3 linked regions of the Caenorhabditis elegans genome follow. The protein of the gene in region 1 interacts with the protein of each later gene in a pairwise test. Each region holds a gene or a part of one and is shown in the gene's direction. Other genes may lie near its edges.

Region 1 (7,592 bases):
CAATAATGAAATGAACGAATCTGGTGGATTTTGTGTAGAGATTACAATCTTTCGAACATCAAACGCCTAGAGAATCTGGGGAATTGAGCTATCCACTTTTGGTTTGTAGTGAAAAATGCTACAATTTGGCGTCAAGTTTTCTTTAAAGGTGGTACCCACCGTGGGGTAGTGAAATAAGGCCCCGAGTGACGGAATGAGGCTTCTCAAAAGCGGAGTCAAAATTAACTAAAATTTTAATTTTTCCCTAAACCGCCATAATTTAGAAAACGTTCAAGATGTCTCTCTTCTGGGGACAAAAAAATCGCTGCTCCATCTTTAAGGTGTGAAGGAACTAAAAGATTGCTGAACAACTCTGCTAGATCGGAACTCGAAAATTGAGAATAATTTTGAAAGAAGGTTTTTTCAAAGTAAAACCATTAATTCGACGATAAACTAAGTGTTTTATAGGTAAGAGTATTAAAAAAAACGTAACTTTTCTTGGATTTGTATTATTTTTATGGAGTCAATTTTTTTTAAAAATAGCCACAAGGTAGTTCAGTGCCAAGTATTGACTTTAAGATGATTTTTATTTATATTTTTCTATTTTCAAAATTCCATTCTTGAATCGATAAATTATGTTGCCGGTGACTGACACCTTGACAGAATGCCAGATGGTCATCTTCCTTCCCCCATTTTAATATATTTTTGAATTCAAATGTGAAAAACTCTCACCATTATCAATCGATCGACGATGATGTTTCCGTGTTGTGGCATGAGTAGATGACAGATAAACTGTCAGAATTATAAGAATGAAACCTGAAAATTATAAATAGTAATGAAGTTTTATTTAATTTCCTTTTGTTTTCTTTCAGAGGTTCGGGTTTAGATACTTCGTTTACTACGAAATTATAGGATTTTAATTTTATTTGTATCAACACAAAAGTGATAACAACAATATTTAAAACTTTTCCACGGAGAAATTATTAAAATTGATAAGATAAAAAGATGGAACTCACCGAAATGTCGCAAAATCATTTCTACTGAATGAATTAAATAACTTCTGTCGAATTATCGCATTCTATTGGTGATGCAGAGGGTCTGAAATAAATAATGTTTTTATTTACCTTTGGATTTTTTGAACACATTTTTTGAACACAGAAAAAAAGATGGAAAAGAGGTCGTTAAAAATAATTTTGAATAGAAAATAAATATATTTAACGGAAAAAGAGTCAAAAACAGGGTCGAACGTCGTCAAAAGAGCTCCAGAAGTGTCCAGCTGAAGGGGTGTGGCCTTGTGGAATGGACACTCTCTCGTTTCTCTGCACCCTCTTCATGTTGTTAATGGAAGGATAACTGTCTGCACTCTAACCTCTCAAATGTCGTTGAAAGCGTCGCGTATGCGTCGCGTGTGCGCACTCGAAAATTTCTTTTTAATCGTCTTCGCGCCATTTGCGATTTTAAATTCCTTTATTGATTTTTAATGTAATTTACACTTCTTTCCTTCGAAAATTCAATGTTGGTAAAAGGTTTTTTGCCTTAAAAATATATCAAGTTTAATGCTTAATGCTGCGTTTACTGGCGCGGCCTAAATTTAAACATTTACGATTTTGAATGATTTCTGTAGTTTTGACCTGTGTTATCGATCAATAATTCGGAATTTTTACCAAAACATATTAGGTGCATTTGTCATGTTCTTTTGGTACTTCCAGTAGTTCATTTAGGCGTTTCAAAAGTATTTCGAAAAGTGTCGTTTTTGAAGAATTTTATTTTATCGAGAATTTCTGACACGGCGCAGAAAAATTTCTTCAGTCTCTCTCAGCTTTAGTCTCAATTACGAAACAACTTTTTTCTATTTCAGAAATGTCCGATAAATCCGGAGGGTTTTTCTCATCGGTTGGCCGCTTCTTTTCTGTTGGAGCTAGTGCCACTAAAAGCAAAGACGGCGATAAGTCGAATGATGAAGGTACATCCAATTCGTCTTCAAAATCGTCTCCTTCTGCGTCTCCAGCATTGAAAAATATATTATCCGTAGATAATGAAGCTAAAATAGCTTCAGGTAAGTTTAATCACATTGACTTTCATATCAGTACATGGCACTAGAATTTCAACTCATTATTTTTTAAATTCCAGATGAAACTTCAGTGAATACCTCACAAAACCATCGCATCGGATCACGTCTTCGATACCTCAGTCCGACTGCATTGGATCGGCGTACGAGTGCATCCAATGGCTTAGAGATCGATGTGGACGCTGTTCCAGATATTTTCTTCAGCACTCCTGCGGTTTCCACGGTAAATTTTTAAAGTTGTCTTTTTATTAATGTGTTTTCACAGAAAAATTAGATTAAACCTGTTGATAAATGCTATCGAAATATTTTTTTCCAGAATCGCAAACGTCAACTGACAGAGCTCGACAAGCAGATTCTACCACAATCGTTTCGAAGTGAGAGTGTGAAACGAAGTCGATTCCTGAACAGATCATTACTGGAACCAACTCTTAATAGTTCAATGAATAATGAGAGGAAAATGGATATGACTTGGTGTGGAGAGTTAACTGCTAATCATTCTCCTGCTTCATCTATCACAAATTTCTCACTTTTGAGCCGACGAAGTGGAGCAACTACCAACGGGTCATTAAGTACAAGAACTCAAGAAATTTTCAAAAAGCTTGAAGGTGCAAATACACCCGCGAAAGAAGTTCAGAGAATGTCAATGCTTCGAGCTGGCATTGCTCGACCAGAAAAATGGGGATCGTTTAGCGAGAGCAAGGTTCCAAATGGTTCAGCAACTGGCACACCACCACCTCCATTGAAAAAAGCTGGAGACGCAATTCCATCTCGTATACAGCTCATATCAAAGACTATGGGAATGTCCGCTCGACGTGCTCCTTATTGGACGGATTTAACTAGGAAAAGAACATCGTCGAAAAATGGAGACACTGGATCTTCTGATTCAATGAAATCATTGAACGGAAACTTTGCGACTGCAGAGGTAACCTGGATTTTAAACACTTGAAAAAAAATGATACAAGAATTATGAAAAAGTTTTTCTGGTCAAATTTTCTAAAATTAGACACGAGATTATCACAGTCTAGTATTTATTTTTAAACGTTTCATTGGGAAATTTTCAGAAATTATAACAAACTTAAAATTATGATAATTAAATTATTCGACTTTATCTTAACTTTTTTAAATTTCAGCTGAGCTCCTTGTTTTCACTGGACTTACCAGCTCCAAAGAAGACAGCATCAACTGCATCCACGACCACCATAAACTCGTCAAATAGTCGAAAACAACATGCCTCAATTATGAAGGGACCTGATGGGAAACCAGTTAGTAGAAATACGTTCAAACTCTCTGATGACATTGAAGAAGTTGATGAGGATTCACAGAAACTTCCACCAATTCCAACAACAACTCTGCAGAATCCACAACCTCTGAAATTGGCGCCAGAATATGCACCCAAGCGCGGGTTTTTGGACGATCTCGCGTTCTCATTCACAGCTCCAGTTGATTTAGTTACTGCTGTTGGAACTGCAAAAACCGCAAGTACGGCAAGCTCACATAAAGCATCCGAGTCCAGCAGTGAGAGCAATGCAGAATCGACAGAAAAGCAAACATCTGAAAGCAGTGGAAACGAATCAGATTCCGAAGAATCAGAAGACTCAGAAGTAGACGTCGGTGAGGAGAATGGTAGTGAAGTGAAAGAGTCGCGACCACAAACTTCCGCTGACACTATCTCATCTGCCGGAGGATCCAATCAGAGTTCAAAGGATTCGTCTCCAAAAGTTGCCAAAGATGCAGAACCAGTTGTGGTTGCTCCAGCTCCAGTGGTCGATGCTGGTTCTAAAAAATGGGAATGTCAATCGTGTTTCTGTAGTTGGGATTCTACGGTAAGAAATTTTGATGTTGATACGAGAAAACTCTAAACTGGGTCTACTATGTTTTACTTAAAATTAATAACAAAATTTAGTCTACAGTTTTCGTGGGTTTAGGAAAGCGTGCGCGAAATGTTCCATTTTTTCAACTAAAATAATTGAAGTCGTCACGAGTCTCGCTGAAAAGTACATCATGTGTCTTTAGAGCATAGTCTCACATTTTCAGAAAATTGTCAAGTATAAAAATTCATCGGAAAAGAAACTAAGAAATTGACAAATAATTTGTTTTCAGCTATCGGAATGTGGGGCATGTGGGGAAGCACGTCCAGGAGGATCTGGTACTGGTCCAAAAAGTCAACCAAAACCTTCCGAAAAGCAGCTTGTATCAAATCTCAGTAGTTTCGCATCGAATACACCAAGTACTGTCAAGTTCGGATTTGGATCAGGTGCTTCAACGACAACAACTATTGCATCGACAACTTCAAACACAATTCCATTCGGAAGCGGTTCTTCAGTGGCACCACTTTTTGGAGCCCCCAAGACAACTGCTCCACCACCAACAACTGTTCCTGCCACAATTCCAGTAGCCCCTACTACTATCGCATCTGCTCCTGTTGCTGCTGTAACTTCATCCTCCAATGGTACACGTGTTGATTGGGAGTGCCCTGATTGTATGGTTAGCAATAAGGCCAGTGATGATAAATGCCCATGTTGCTCACATGTCAAATATGCATCTGCTGAAGCATCTTCGAATGTTTTTGGTAATCGGGCCTTCAAACCACTTTCTTCCACAGGGTCTACTATTTCATTCGGAGTTGGTGGAAGTACAGCAACCACCCAACCAAGCGCATTTGCATTTGGACTGTCAAAGACAACAGAAGTTGCGCCAACTTCTACTCCAGCCTTTGGGCTTTCGGCGAAACCAGCTGTTTCATCAGCCCCAGTCGAGAAACCATCTGCACCAGAAGTTCCCAAAACAGCTGGATCTCTTTTCGGAAATATCGCCAAACCTGCCGATTCAGCTACCACAAGTTTCTTGGCTCCAGGTGCTGCATCGTCTACAAGTTCTTTGGCGCCAACGGCGGGATCATCATTGTTTGGTGGTTCAACTGGATCTATCTTCAATTTAAACAAAACCAACACGACAGAGACTGCGAAGCCAGGCCTATTCGGATCGATCTTAGATAAGGAAACACATGTCACAACAACTCCTGTCTCTGTTGCTCTTCCATCATCTACAGATTCGACTCAATCAAAATCCGCTATTCCAACAATTGCTCCAACCATGTCATTGTTTGGAAACTCATCTACTGGATCATTCGGTGGATCATCAATGTTCGGCAATTCCAAAACGGAACTTCCAAAGATTTCTTCTACGCTTTCGTTCGGAAATCCAACGACTGCTGCAGCACCAGTGTCCACAGCTACCGCAGAAGCTGTAAAAACTAATGTCTTCGGAAGCAACTCGGCATCAGCATCAACCAGCCTTTTCGGTGCAGGATCCTCGTCCACAGCAACTAATCTGTTTACAACAAAGCCTGCTGATTCGACAACTTCTTCGATTTTCGGAAAGCCGATTTCATTTGGAGACGATTCAGGAACAACCACTACTGACGGGGCACCAGCAAAGCGTGGATTGTTCTCATCCGACTCACAGAAGCTTCAGTTCGGCGGCCAGCAAAAAGTTGAGATGCCAAAGTTTACTGGTTTTGGAAACCCTGCCTCTACTGCCTCAACCACAAGTGGATCACTCTTTGGCGGTGCTTCTACAAATCCACCAATGTTCGGAGGGCCTTCATCCTCAAGCATTCCCGCATTTTCGACATCAAACTCTTCAAGCACTTCAGGTTTTCCTAGCTCTACAGCGACCCCATTCGGAAACGCCGGGACAACATCAACCTCTGGAGTGTTTGGTGCATTTGGAAACAAGCCATCACAACCAGGATTGTCTTCTAGCTCATCTACGAACTCGTTGTTCGGTCAAGCACCTGCTGATTCCTCTAAGTAAGCTTCAACATTTTTTGGTTACTAGAAAACAATTATTATTTTCAGCCCGTTCGGTGGCACGTCCAATAATGGCTTCAACTTTGGTGCATCTAGCAGCACAACCGGCGCCACTGCAGGAGGCGGAGGAGTTTTCCAGTTTGGAAATGCTGCCACCTCAGCTCCAGCTCCGACTGCTGCTCCAGGAGGTGGAGCGTTCCAGTTTGGTGGTAACATGTCAGTTCCACAAGCTCCAGCACCTGGTGGAATGGAAAACGCCTTTTCTTATCAGTAAGTTTCTCTTCCAACTTTAACCAATTAATTCAAAAGTACATAAGTATTAATTGTTATTATTTGCAGAGCTCCGAGTGGTGTCGGCGCCCGAAAAATGGCAATGGCTCGACGCCGTAACATGAGAAAGTAATGGAAAAGTTGTTAATCGACATTCGTCATTTAATCTAGATTATTAGAAATATATTTTGTTGCAATCATACCATTTTTGTTGTTCCCTCTTTCCTTATTGCCCTTAATTAATTGTATGTTTGTTGTGAAGTAGAGAAGAGGAACTGTACAAAACATATCCGTTTTCCCATTTTAAATTTCGCCTCATGTTTATCAAAATTTATTTTCTTTTCCTCGAAACGTTTTTTGGAGTGTCCCCTTCTCTCCACAACAGTCCTCTACATAAAACCCTAGTTATCTTTCTATCCTCATTCCCTTTTTCCCCGGTAGTATTTGTCCCCCGTTCTATATTTAAAAATTATCTACATCTATTAACCCCTCCTCCCATATATACCCATATGTCTCCTATCAAATGATTCTTCCCATTCAAAAGTCTTTAAAAACTGTTATATTCAAAATATAATTCAAATTATTCAAAATTACCATCGGGTTAATACACTTTTCGCTGTGACTGATTTCAAAAATGTTTAGATTACCCGTTATTTTGTTTTCTTTTTTAGACAGCCCCCCCACACATTTCCATTTAATTTTGCTCAAATTCCGAAACACAACTTTCAAGTTTTCAACACCGAGCCTTTTGAGTTCTAGCTAGAGCTACTTCCCCTTTGTTTTCATTTGAATGTTTTCTTTCCGATTTTTTTTTTCAAGAATTAATTTTTAATGGGAAATCTAATTATATCTATTGTTGTTGTGACCACTCCCACCATTTAAAACCCACCACTTGTCTCGTTATGGTATTTCCTAGGTTGGAATCAATAAAGGTGTGAAAATAAAACAAAATTTGAAATGATTGGCTGCACGTCCTGTGTCTCTAGATTAGTACAGAACCTCCTCCCACCTCAATTCAAAAGTAAACAATAAAATTACTTACTTTTTCCACCAACTCTTGGTAAATATGAGTAGGTTATCGATTTTAAGTAGGTAGATAGATAGCTAAATATAAAAAAAAGACGATGACTATTACTAACGATGTTGTAGGAAACAAAAAAGAGATGAAATGAGACCTTGGTCGATTTTCATTTATTCTTCAATTTATCTCCCTCTTTACCGGGGGTCTCTAATTCTTCTTATCTCCGAATGGCTTAATCATATTTGTCGGTAGAGGAATTTATCAGTATGATGACTCGAAGTTATGTTCCCCCAATTGAGGCACTGATGTTCAAAAACACAAGCTCAAAATTGTATCACAATAGTAACAAATACGTGCTACCATAACATTTTCTATCTAGGCGAGACCCATTCGAATAAATTAGTGCGTTTTTGAGTACGAGATGTACATCAGGAAATTGCTT
Region 2 (5,404 bases), on another chromosome or scaffold:
TAAATTTTGATAGTAGTTGTCAATTGGCTCCGCCCACTGCATCATTTTTTGGTAAATCCTGTTTTGAACTGCATTCTGTTTTGGTGGGGCCTCGAGACCACAGCTTTACATGGAGGCTTAGCCCATGCACCAAGTGAAGAGCTAGTCATCAATGCATCTAGACTGGAAGGATCCATCGCTTCCCGAGTAAAGTTGCTTGTGATCAAAGGTGTCAGTGTCCCCTAAAAATTACAAAAACGGGACAACGGGAATTCCCGTTCCCGTGAAAATTTTTAAAACGGGACAACGGGAATTCCCGTTTCCGCGAAAACACCCAAAAAACGGGACAACGGGACATCCCGTTCCCGTGAAAATGACAAAAACGGGACAGCGGGAATTCCCGTTCCCGTGAAAATTTTAAAAACGGGACAACGGGAATTCCCGTTCCCGTGAAAACACCCCAAAAACGGGACAACGGGACAAACGGAACACGGGAATTGACATCCTTGCTTGTGATGGGATTGGAATCGGACAAAATCAAATGCAAGGTCGCAATCATGGCTGAAATTAAGAGTAGAGGGAATCTGAAAAGCTCCCGAAAAATTTTTGAATCAGCTGCAGCAAAATTTCCGAACTGCCAGTAAGACAACATTTTTTAATCAATTTTTTTGAAACTGACTTACTTTCAGAGCTATAATAACCGGACGAGTCATTGTAGAAGAGAACGCAAATCGCGGTGCTGAGGCTGAAAAGCTTACCCGTGATTTTATCACCAAAAATACTGACGTCAGCGGAGATGAGTTGATAAAATTTATCAACTACATGGAGACCTACGATTCCAAGTTTGGTTTAAAGGTAAGCCTGTAAAACACTGAAAAATGTTAAACGAATTATATTATAACTATATTCTTCGCAATAGTGATTCAAATTGAACCATTTCAGGCTGCAATTCAAGTTGCAAAGGACAATCTTCCATGGGCCGGCGAAGAGAACATAGACCAATGGGTCAACTGGGTCAACCTACTGATTAGTCTGAAAAGTTTCAAAAGTTCCAAACTTTTCTGTGAACACGGCATGCCAGCAGCGTTGGGGAGTGTATCTTTTCTTAAGTTTTTCAATAGATCTTTGCGAAAACTGTAACAGGATCGACACTGACCGAAGCAGATCAGGTGTTCTCCTGGATCCAGGAACACAACAAGAAATTGCGGGAAAAGACGGCTAATGTAAGTTTTTCGGACTAGAAAATACTCCTGGTTTTTTGTTCAAAAGTATTATATCAAATGCATTTGATGCAAATGCAAATGCAAATGTAACCATAAATATCATTATTTTTCAGGTGGTGCAGGATGAGAGCGGCGACGAGTAGGATGCAATCACAAAATTTATTGCTTTATAATTTTTATAAAATCCGCTGTTATTAATATTGTAAAGAATGTTGAGTAAATAAATTTATTATTTAAAATTTTTTGTTAAAAGAGCTTGGTACCCAAATGTATTTAAAATTGCCATATTTTGAAACCATTTGAAGCGAAGTTTGACATTTTAATCAGACATTGTTTTTTGTTCTTAATATCTTTAACATTTACACGTTTTCCTTTTTTTAAAGAAGATCCATCCAAAAACTCCGGAGCTTCTTTTCCCTAGTTTTAAAATCTACGAGTGAGACCTCTTATCTGCCAATACGCTCTATTGTGTGCGTTGCGTGTCAACCGCGACGCTTCTGCGACATATTTTGTCTCGTTATCGACTATAATTTTTCCCCAATCCTACTGAAATCTTTCCATCTTACATGTAATTCATTGGATTTTATTTAAAAATTTCTGTTAAAGTTTCTCAATATCGCTCTTTTCTTATTTTAAATAATTAAGCTGTAATCTTAGATACTTTTTGTGTTGCGAAATCTCTGATAGAAAGTTCCGCAGTTTTTAAACGTTTTTTGTTGCTTTTTACTTGCGCTACTATTCATTTATCAAGTTTTTTTCTTTCAGCAGAATGAGTTCAAACAGACAGGCTTATTATAAGAACAATGCCAAAGAGCAAATTGGCAAGGAAAAAAGGAACGAAGAAGTAAGTTCGATAAACTTGTTAACGCATACATTATTCAATTTTAAGGTGGTTTCGATCAGAAAGGATAAACGAGAGGAGGCAATTTCCAAACGGCGTAATATCAATACCCAAATTGAGTGAGTTTTTCATCTGATTTTATATGCTTCAGCTATGAGAGCTAACAAAAGTGTTTCATACGCTTATCACAGTAAATTATCTGTTCCAGTTTTTGAATTGTTTTAATTTTCAGAGATGATTCTGAGACTTCAACAACCCCACCAGGTCCATTTGATGCCAACCTCCTCCGGTTGACAGTCGCTGCTGCCCAATCGAGCGATCCCGCTGAGCAGCTGACTGCTGTTCAACAAGCCCGTAAAATGCTATCAACTGATAGAAATCCACCAATTGATGACTTGATTGGCAGTGGGATTTTGCCTGTCCTCGTTCAATGCTTGTCCAGCACGGAGTAAGAATTTTCATAAGGTCGCATCAAATTACTGTAAATTTTCAGTCCAAACTTGCAATTTGAAGCTGCATGGGCCCTTACCAACATAGCATCTGGTACATCAGAGCAAACACAAGCCGTCGTGAATGCCGGAGCCGTTCCTCTCTTCCTGCAACTCCTGTCATGTGGAAATCTGAACGTTTGCGAGCAATCTGTCTGGGCTCTTGGTAACATCATTGGAGATGGACCACATTTCCGTGATTATTGTCTCGAACTCGGAATTCTCCAGCCACTATTGCAGTTCATTAACCCGGAGATACCTATTGGCTTCTTGAGAAATGTCACATGGGTTATTGTCAATCTCTGCAGGTGCAAAGATCCGGCACCAAGCCCAGCTGTGGTTCGTACGATTCTTCCCGCCCTCTCACTTTTGATCCATCACCAAGACACCAACATCCTCATAGACACCGTTTGGGCCCTTTCTTACCTCACCGACGGTGGAAATGAACACATTCAAATGGTTATCGAAGCTCAAGTTGTTACCCATCTCGTTCCACTCCTTGGACACGTTGATGTTAAAGTTCAAACAGCAGCACTTCGAGCTGTAGGAAATATTGTGACTGGAACCGACGAACAAACACAACTTGTGTTGGATAGCGGAGTAAAAATTTTCATTTATGACTTTTCCAAATCTTAAATTTCAGGTTCTTCGGTTTATGCCAGGACTTCTCGCCCACTACAAAGAGAAAATAAACAAAGAGGCTGTTTGGTTTGTCTCCAACATAACTGCTGGAAACCAACAACAAGTTCAAGACGTATTCGACGCCGGAATCATGCCAATGATTATTCATCTTCTTGATCGAGGAGATTTCCCAACTCAAAAAGAGGCAGCGTGGGCTATTTCCAACGTTACAATCTCTGGCCGTCCAAATCAAGTTGAGCAAATGGTAAAGCTTGGTGTCCTTCGTCCTTTCTGTGCGATGCTCAGTTGCACTGATTCGCAGATTATCCAAGTAGTGCTTGATGGAATTAACAACATTCTGAAAATGGCTGGAGAAGCTGCCGAACAGGTGACATCAGAGATTGAAGAGTGCGGAGGTCTTGACAAGATAGAAAATCTTCAAAATCATGAAAACGAGGACATTTACAAACTGGCTTTCGAAATTATCGATAACTTCTTCAGGTAGGAGTCCAATTATATTTGATAAAAATCTTCAGAGTCCGTGTGCGAATGTTTGGTGTATACGTTTTTATATTTTCAGTTCCGATGATGAGACTGGCAACGTGGAAGGAGCTCAAAGTTCTGCTTTTGGAGGCGACGTTCCACCAGTTCCTGATGCTCCAAACGGAGGATGGAACTTTGGAAAGTAGATCTCCATGATTCCTTTAATCACAAAATACGTTTTGTCTTATTTCTCGTAAACAATTTCGCATGCCGTTCCCATACAAATGTTCATGTAGTTTTCGTCTTACTATTTTTCACACCTCACTTTTTGTTAGGTTCTCGTGTATTTTCATCTGACACGCGAGTTCCTAAGCCAGCTTCTCGGAAATGCAAGCTCTCTTTCATGTGAGATTTTGCACTTTTTGACCAATTGAGTTTGCACGTTCTTCTACAATCGATTGTCAATTATCTCATCCTTTCTTTATCTCTTCGTTGTTTCTGTACCATCAGTGATTTGATTAACATTTCACTTTTTCATCCACCATCTTTTTTCCATTGTGATTAATTAGTTACAATGTCCCCGCCCTCTTCTTCGTGTGTGCGAGAGTGACTGTTTTATGATAATATATTTCGATTTCTTTTTAAAGTGAGTGTGTGAGTTGTGCATTTTTGTTGAGTTTTGTTTTCATTTTTGTTTCCCATTCGCGCCCGTTCATTGCCCGCGTCCCCCACCCTCATCCTTTTATCATTGTTACCGCGTCGTTTTCAAATCTCTCATCATTTTTCCCAGTCCCTCCAATCCCCACGGTCCCCAGATTTTCTCTCTAAAAGCGAGTATTTTCATTTTCTTCACATGTTACTTTTATTAATTCTTTATCATATACATAATTTCAATTTCTTAGAACTTCTGATCCCCCTAGTTTGCTCATTTCCTAGTCATCCATCATCATTCTCGATTTCATTAGTTCTCGGAGAATCTCGTTGATAGGCCAAAAATTCCAATCACCCTGCTCCTCTTAGTTCTCGTGGACTCCAGTATTCTTTTTCTTGAAACCCCACCCATCCCGTAAGGCCTTTTTAAAGGTATATCGAGCCGTCCCTCTTCTCATCATCCATCTTCTTTTCTCATTTTCCCTCTCATCTTCCTCATCCCATTTTCCTTTCTCCCGTTTTGCTATTCTCGATTGTCTCGACTGACTGGCCAATATTCCCTTTACCTGGTGTGTGCTCTCATAATAAATAAATCAAATTTATTTGTTAAAAGTTGTTGTAAAACGAAACAATAATACACGATTTTCATTTATTTCATGACAAACTCAAATTTTCCGGTTTCTTCCAACAGTGAGCAAAGTTGTTCGGGGTCCACATTATGTTGAAGAGAAAGTTCGTCAATTGAAGTTTTTCCATTACACCGTTTCAGGAGACTTAAAATTGTATATTATTAGATAGTATTAATTGATTAACTTACGTGTTGTTGCCTGGGTTTGCAACACAAATAGGATATTTAGAAAGTTTACGAAGAAACTGATGATGCATTCCAAATTGTACAAGTCGCTGTTCATCAATACCCATCGATCTTGGTTTCTCCAGATCGGCCCATTCTGCTAGATTGTTGCCGCACTGAAAACGTAGTCGATTGCTATCAGATTCGTCGATCGGAAGTTTAGGTCCCACCACTTTCATGCTCAAATAAAGTCGGAACACATCCGAAAATTCTGGAGTTCGCGTTGGAATTTCTGAGCCGTCTGCACCGATTTCCGTTTGAATTT
Region 3 (3,151 bases), 3.7 Mb from region 1:
TAACACAGAATCTTTAACATTTTTCAGACATGGCTTCCGAGTGTAAATCTTGCGAAAATCTCGTGGATCATATTAAGGAAGAGATGTTTCACATTGAGGAGCTAAGAAGTGAAATTGAACAACTTGAACAATATATTCGGAATCTTCAAATCAACTTTGAGAAAATTCAAACTGAAAATGAAATTTTGAAGACACAGTTGGAAGAAAAAGAAACGGAAGCTGAGGAAAGTCAACGACTTCTTGATGTAATCCATAAAGATCGTGATGAATGTATTGAAGAAAAAATGAAAGTTTCAAGATTTTATCGAAATGAAATCAAGAAGGTTATAGAAGAAAATGAAGCTCTACGCAAAGAAAACAATAATTTAAAAGATACATATAACAATGAAAATATCGCAAAGATCGGGAAAAATTTGGATAAATTACAAGAAGTTAAGACAGACATTTGCAAAAATAAAATCAAATTGAAAGAGGTTGACAGTGTAAGTTGGTTTTTGTTGTAAATAGAAATTCTATCGATAGATATTCTGGAGTTTGCCATGAAACTTTTATAGTGCCTAATTTTGGAAATTTGTCGAACGGAAGAGATATCGTAAGCAACGGCGTCTTCCATCTTCGTTGCAAATTTTTTATTTTCAAATTCCTCTATTCAATTGTTTCATTTCAGATCACAACGAATGCATCCGTAACTATAAAAAATCAGAAGATTGAATTATGTGAAATGGAGAAGAATGAGGATGAACTGTTTGAAACCTTCGAGTATATCGAGATAGACCAGTAGCATGGAATTCAAAGTTATTCGTTTTGAATTGCTAAATTCAATTTTTTTATTCAATTGTTATCAGAAGCTGTATAAATTAAAGAATTTATGATAGTTTAAAATAAGAACTGATGGCACGAGGAGAATATCATTATGACATGTCTTAAATTCAACTATTTAAATTTATTCATATTTATATTATATGTAATTCACCTAACTCTTGAATTTGATACCACATAGTTAATCAAAAAGTATATACATCTACCTATTTCAATTGTATTCGATTGTGGACAATATCGTATGACTTCCATACTGTCGAAAATGCCTACTTGGTCTTACCCGTTGTTTCACAACAGGTCTCTTTCAAGATGATGTTCCATGTCGTACTGAAAACTGATTCAATTTTTATTTTCCAGCAAAATATAAAAGTTCATGAAGCCCCAAAAAAGTCACTGATTGTCATTTATGGACAAACAATACATAACTTATGCCTTTGATTAGTTAAATTTTTATTTTGCTCGAGATACTCCCCCTTCAGATGTTTTTCCATTTTATAAATTGTATTAATCCCAGTAATTTACTATCACTCAATACTCTTTTTTTTTACAAGATATTGGTTCTTCTATTGCCCTTCTATTGCCCAATTGGCTCAAATGGCTCCTCAATACAAGGTCAGCTCATCGATTTCAGACAAATAACACAGTACAATTAGCACCTGGAGGCAGACAATGGAAGATAATACTTCCCAAAAGAAAGCTGACTTTTGGGAAAGGGGAGTACGGTAAGACAATGTTGAAACGCCTAGAAACCCGCTGGAATTATAGATATTTATTATTGTCTGAGAAGGACAGCTGTTTTTTCTCCAAGGTAGGCCTAAGGCCCGATTCTCCAAGATAATTGCTCCTGTTTTGTTTGAATTTCGTCCTTCACCGTACATAGTTTTTTTTCAAAATTAAGTTTCGTTTCCAGATGAATCCCAAAATCTCTGTCTACGAAAATTCCTCCAACACTTTGGAGCTGACCCAACTAAAAGCAGAAAACGAATTTCTGAAGCATGAGCTCGTGGAGCAACGAAACATTTTCGAGTCAATGCTCGGAAAAGAAAAGTTTGACTTGACTTTGGAGATCATGCTTTTGAAGAATCAGGTCGAGGAATCGTTCAAGGAAAAGAAGATGATTTTGGCTTTTTTTGATGAAAAGGACAGCGAGAAGGAGCAAATGGTTTTGAAATTTACCAGAGAAATTGATGAGCTCAAGGAAATCATCGAAGACAGTGTTTCGGATAAATTGGACTACAATGAAGAGACAAAAGCATGTCATTCGGAAATTGAAAGACTTGAAGATGAATTGAAAAACCGCAAGAGGGATCTTAGACGAAGTGCACGAGAAATGAAAGCAATGGAATCTCAAAAAGATTATTTGATGACAGAGTGTGTACAGCAAAAGCAGGCGATGAAACGATTGGAATCTAAAAATCAAAAGCTTTTGGATCATATGACAGCAACTAGTGAAGGATATCAAAGATTGTCAAGAAACAATGAAAATCTTCTGAAGGTTAGTTCTTGCGATCTTGTCATTTTCAATATTAAGTCAACTTTCAGACGAATGCATTGTTGAATGAAATGATCGGCAGATTCATGGCTCGAGATCAACGACAAGTTCAGGAAGAGGAAACTAGTGTTCTGAAAAAGTGATTTCTGAAGAACGTTCACAACAGCTTGCTCATCGCCCTTCATCGACTGTCAGACCAACTTCCTTTTGTAGTTTTCTAGTTCTTCCATCTCCCTGTAACTCCATCGATCATTCATGTCATCTCATCATTGTAATAATTCAATTTTCTAGAAATCCCTTTCCAGATAAATAAATGAATTAAACCGTATTTTATTGTGTATCTGAAAATGTCGAAACAAGCAGAACGTCATGTGCATTTCGATATCTAACGACTTTGATCTGCCTATTGTTGCAGGTGTTTTTTAAGAGCACCTAGATAACCAATAGGCCCACTACTCGATCGACAGAGTCAATAAAACGTATTGCAGTGGGAACAATTCTAAGAGGTCATTCACATTGTCCCCCAATCGGTGCTAACTATATATTTCAACTGCTACGTATAGCAGTAAAGAACATCGCCTTAATTTTTATCTATCATACACTGGCAGCCTGCCAAAAATGTTTTTTGGAAAATGATTAACCAAAACTTTGACTGAATTTTTTTTCAAAAATCTAAAACAAGTGTAAAGAGGCTAAATTTCTACTGAAAAGCGTTAATTCTTCTCTTCTTTTCTCCTTTTGTCTCTCCTGGAGAGCGTAAATACATAAAAAATTAATTTGAATTAATTTTTTCATTAAGGAAACCAACATCCTATACGACTGTATTCTTATTCCTGAAAA

What was found. The genes of interacting proteins can lie anywhere in the genome.
Region 2: the proteins of npp-7 (region 1) and ima-3 interact in a two-hybrid assay, tested with the Caenorhabditis elegans proteins (one large-scale study listed by BioGRID).
Region 3: the proteins of npp-7 (region 1) and C17E4.2 interact in a two-hybrid assay, tested with the Caenorhabditis elegans proteins (one large-scale study listed by BioGRID).

The regions. Positions count from the first base shown.
Region 1 is NC_003279.8:5,690,427-5,698,018, forward strand, and holds npp-7 (RanBP2-type domain-containing protein), read left to right. Parts: upstream 1-1,837; 5' UTR 1,838-1,839; coding exon 1,840-2,035; intron 2,036-2,109; coding exon 2,110-2,270; intron 2,271-2,363; coding exon 2,364-2,969; intron 2,970-3,177; coding exon 3,178-3,870; intron 3,871-4,147; coding exon 4,148-5,859; intron 5,860-5,907; coding exon 5,908-6,129; intron 6,130-6,198; coding exon 6,199-6,262; 3' UTR 6,263-7,080; downstream 7,081-7,592. Other genes in the region: Netrin receptor unc-40, read right to left, coding at 712-795, 996-1,014.
Region 2 is NC_003282.8:7,558,228-7,563,631, reverse strand, and holds ima-3 (Importin subunit alpha-3), read left to right. Parts: upstream 1-1,967; 5' UTR 1,968-1,971; coding exon 1,972-2,046; intron 2,047-2,091; coding exon 2,092-2,162; intron 2,163-2,275; coding exon 2,276-2,491; intron 2,492-2,536; coding exon 2,537-3,131; intron 3,132-3,174; coding exon 3,175-3,653; intron 3,654-3,732; coding exon 3,733-3,841; 3' UTR 3,842-4,891; downstream 4,892-5,404. Other genes in the region: F32E10.9 (TPR_REGION domain-containing protein), read left to right, coding at 495-619, 669-834, 922-1,119; nprl-2 (Nitrogen permease regulator 2), read right to left, coding at 4,936-5,059, 5,104-5,404. UniProt on the Caenorhabditis elegans protein: Binds specifically and directly to substrates containing either a simple or bipartite NLS motif. Promotes docking of import substrates to the nuclear envelope. Seems to act as a cytosolic receptor for both simple and bipartite NLS motifs.
Region 3 is NC_003279.8:9,410,585-9,413,735, forward strand, and holds C17E4.2 (Cilia- and flagella-associated protein 157), read left to right. Parts: upstream 1-1,721; 5' UTR 1,722-1,729; coding exon 1,730-2,314; intron 2,315-2,361; coding exon 2,362-2,454; 3' UTR 2,455-2,638; downstream 2,639-3,151. Other genes in the region: C17E4.19 (uncharacterized protein), read left to right, coding at 30-482, 668-781.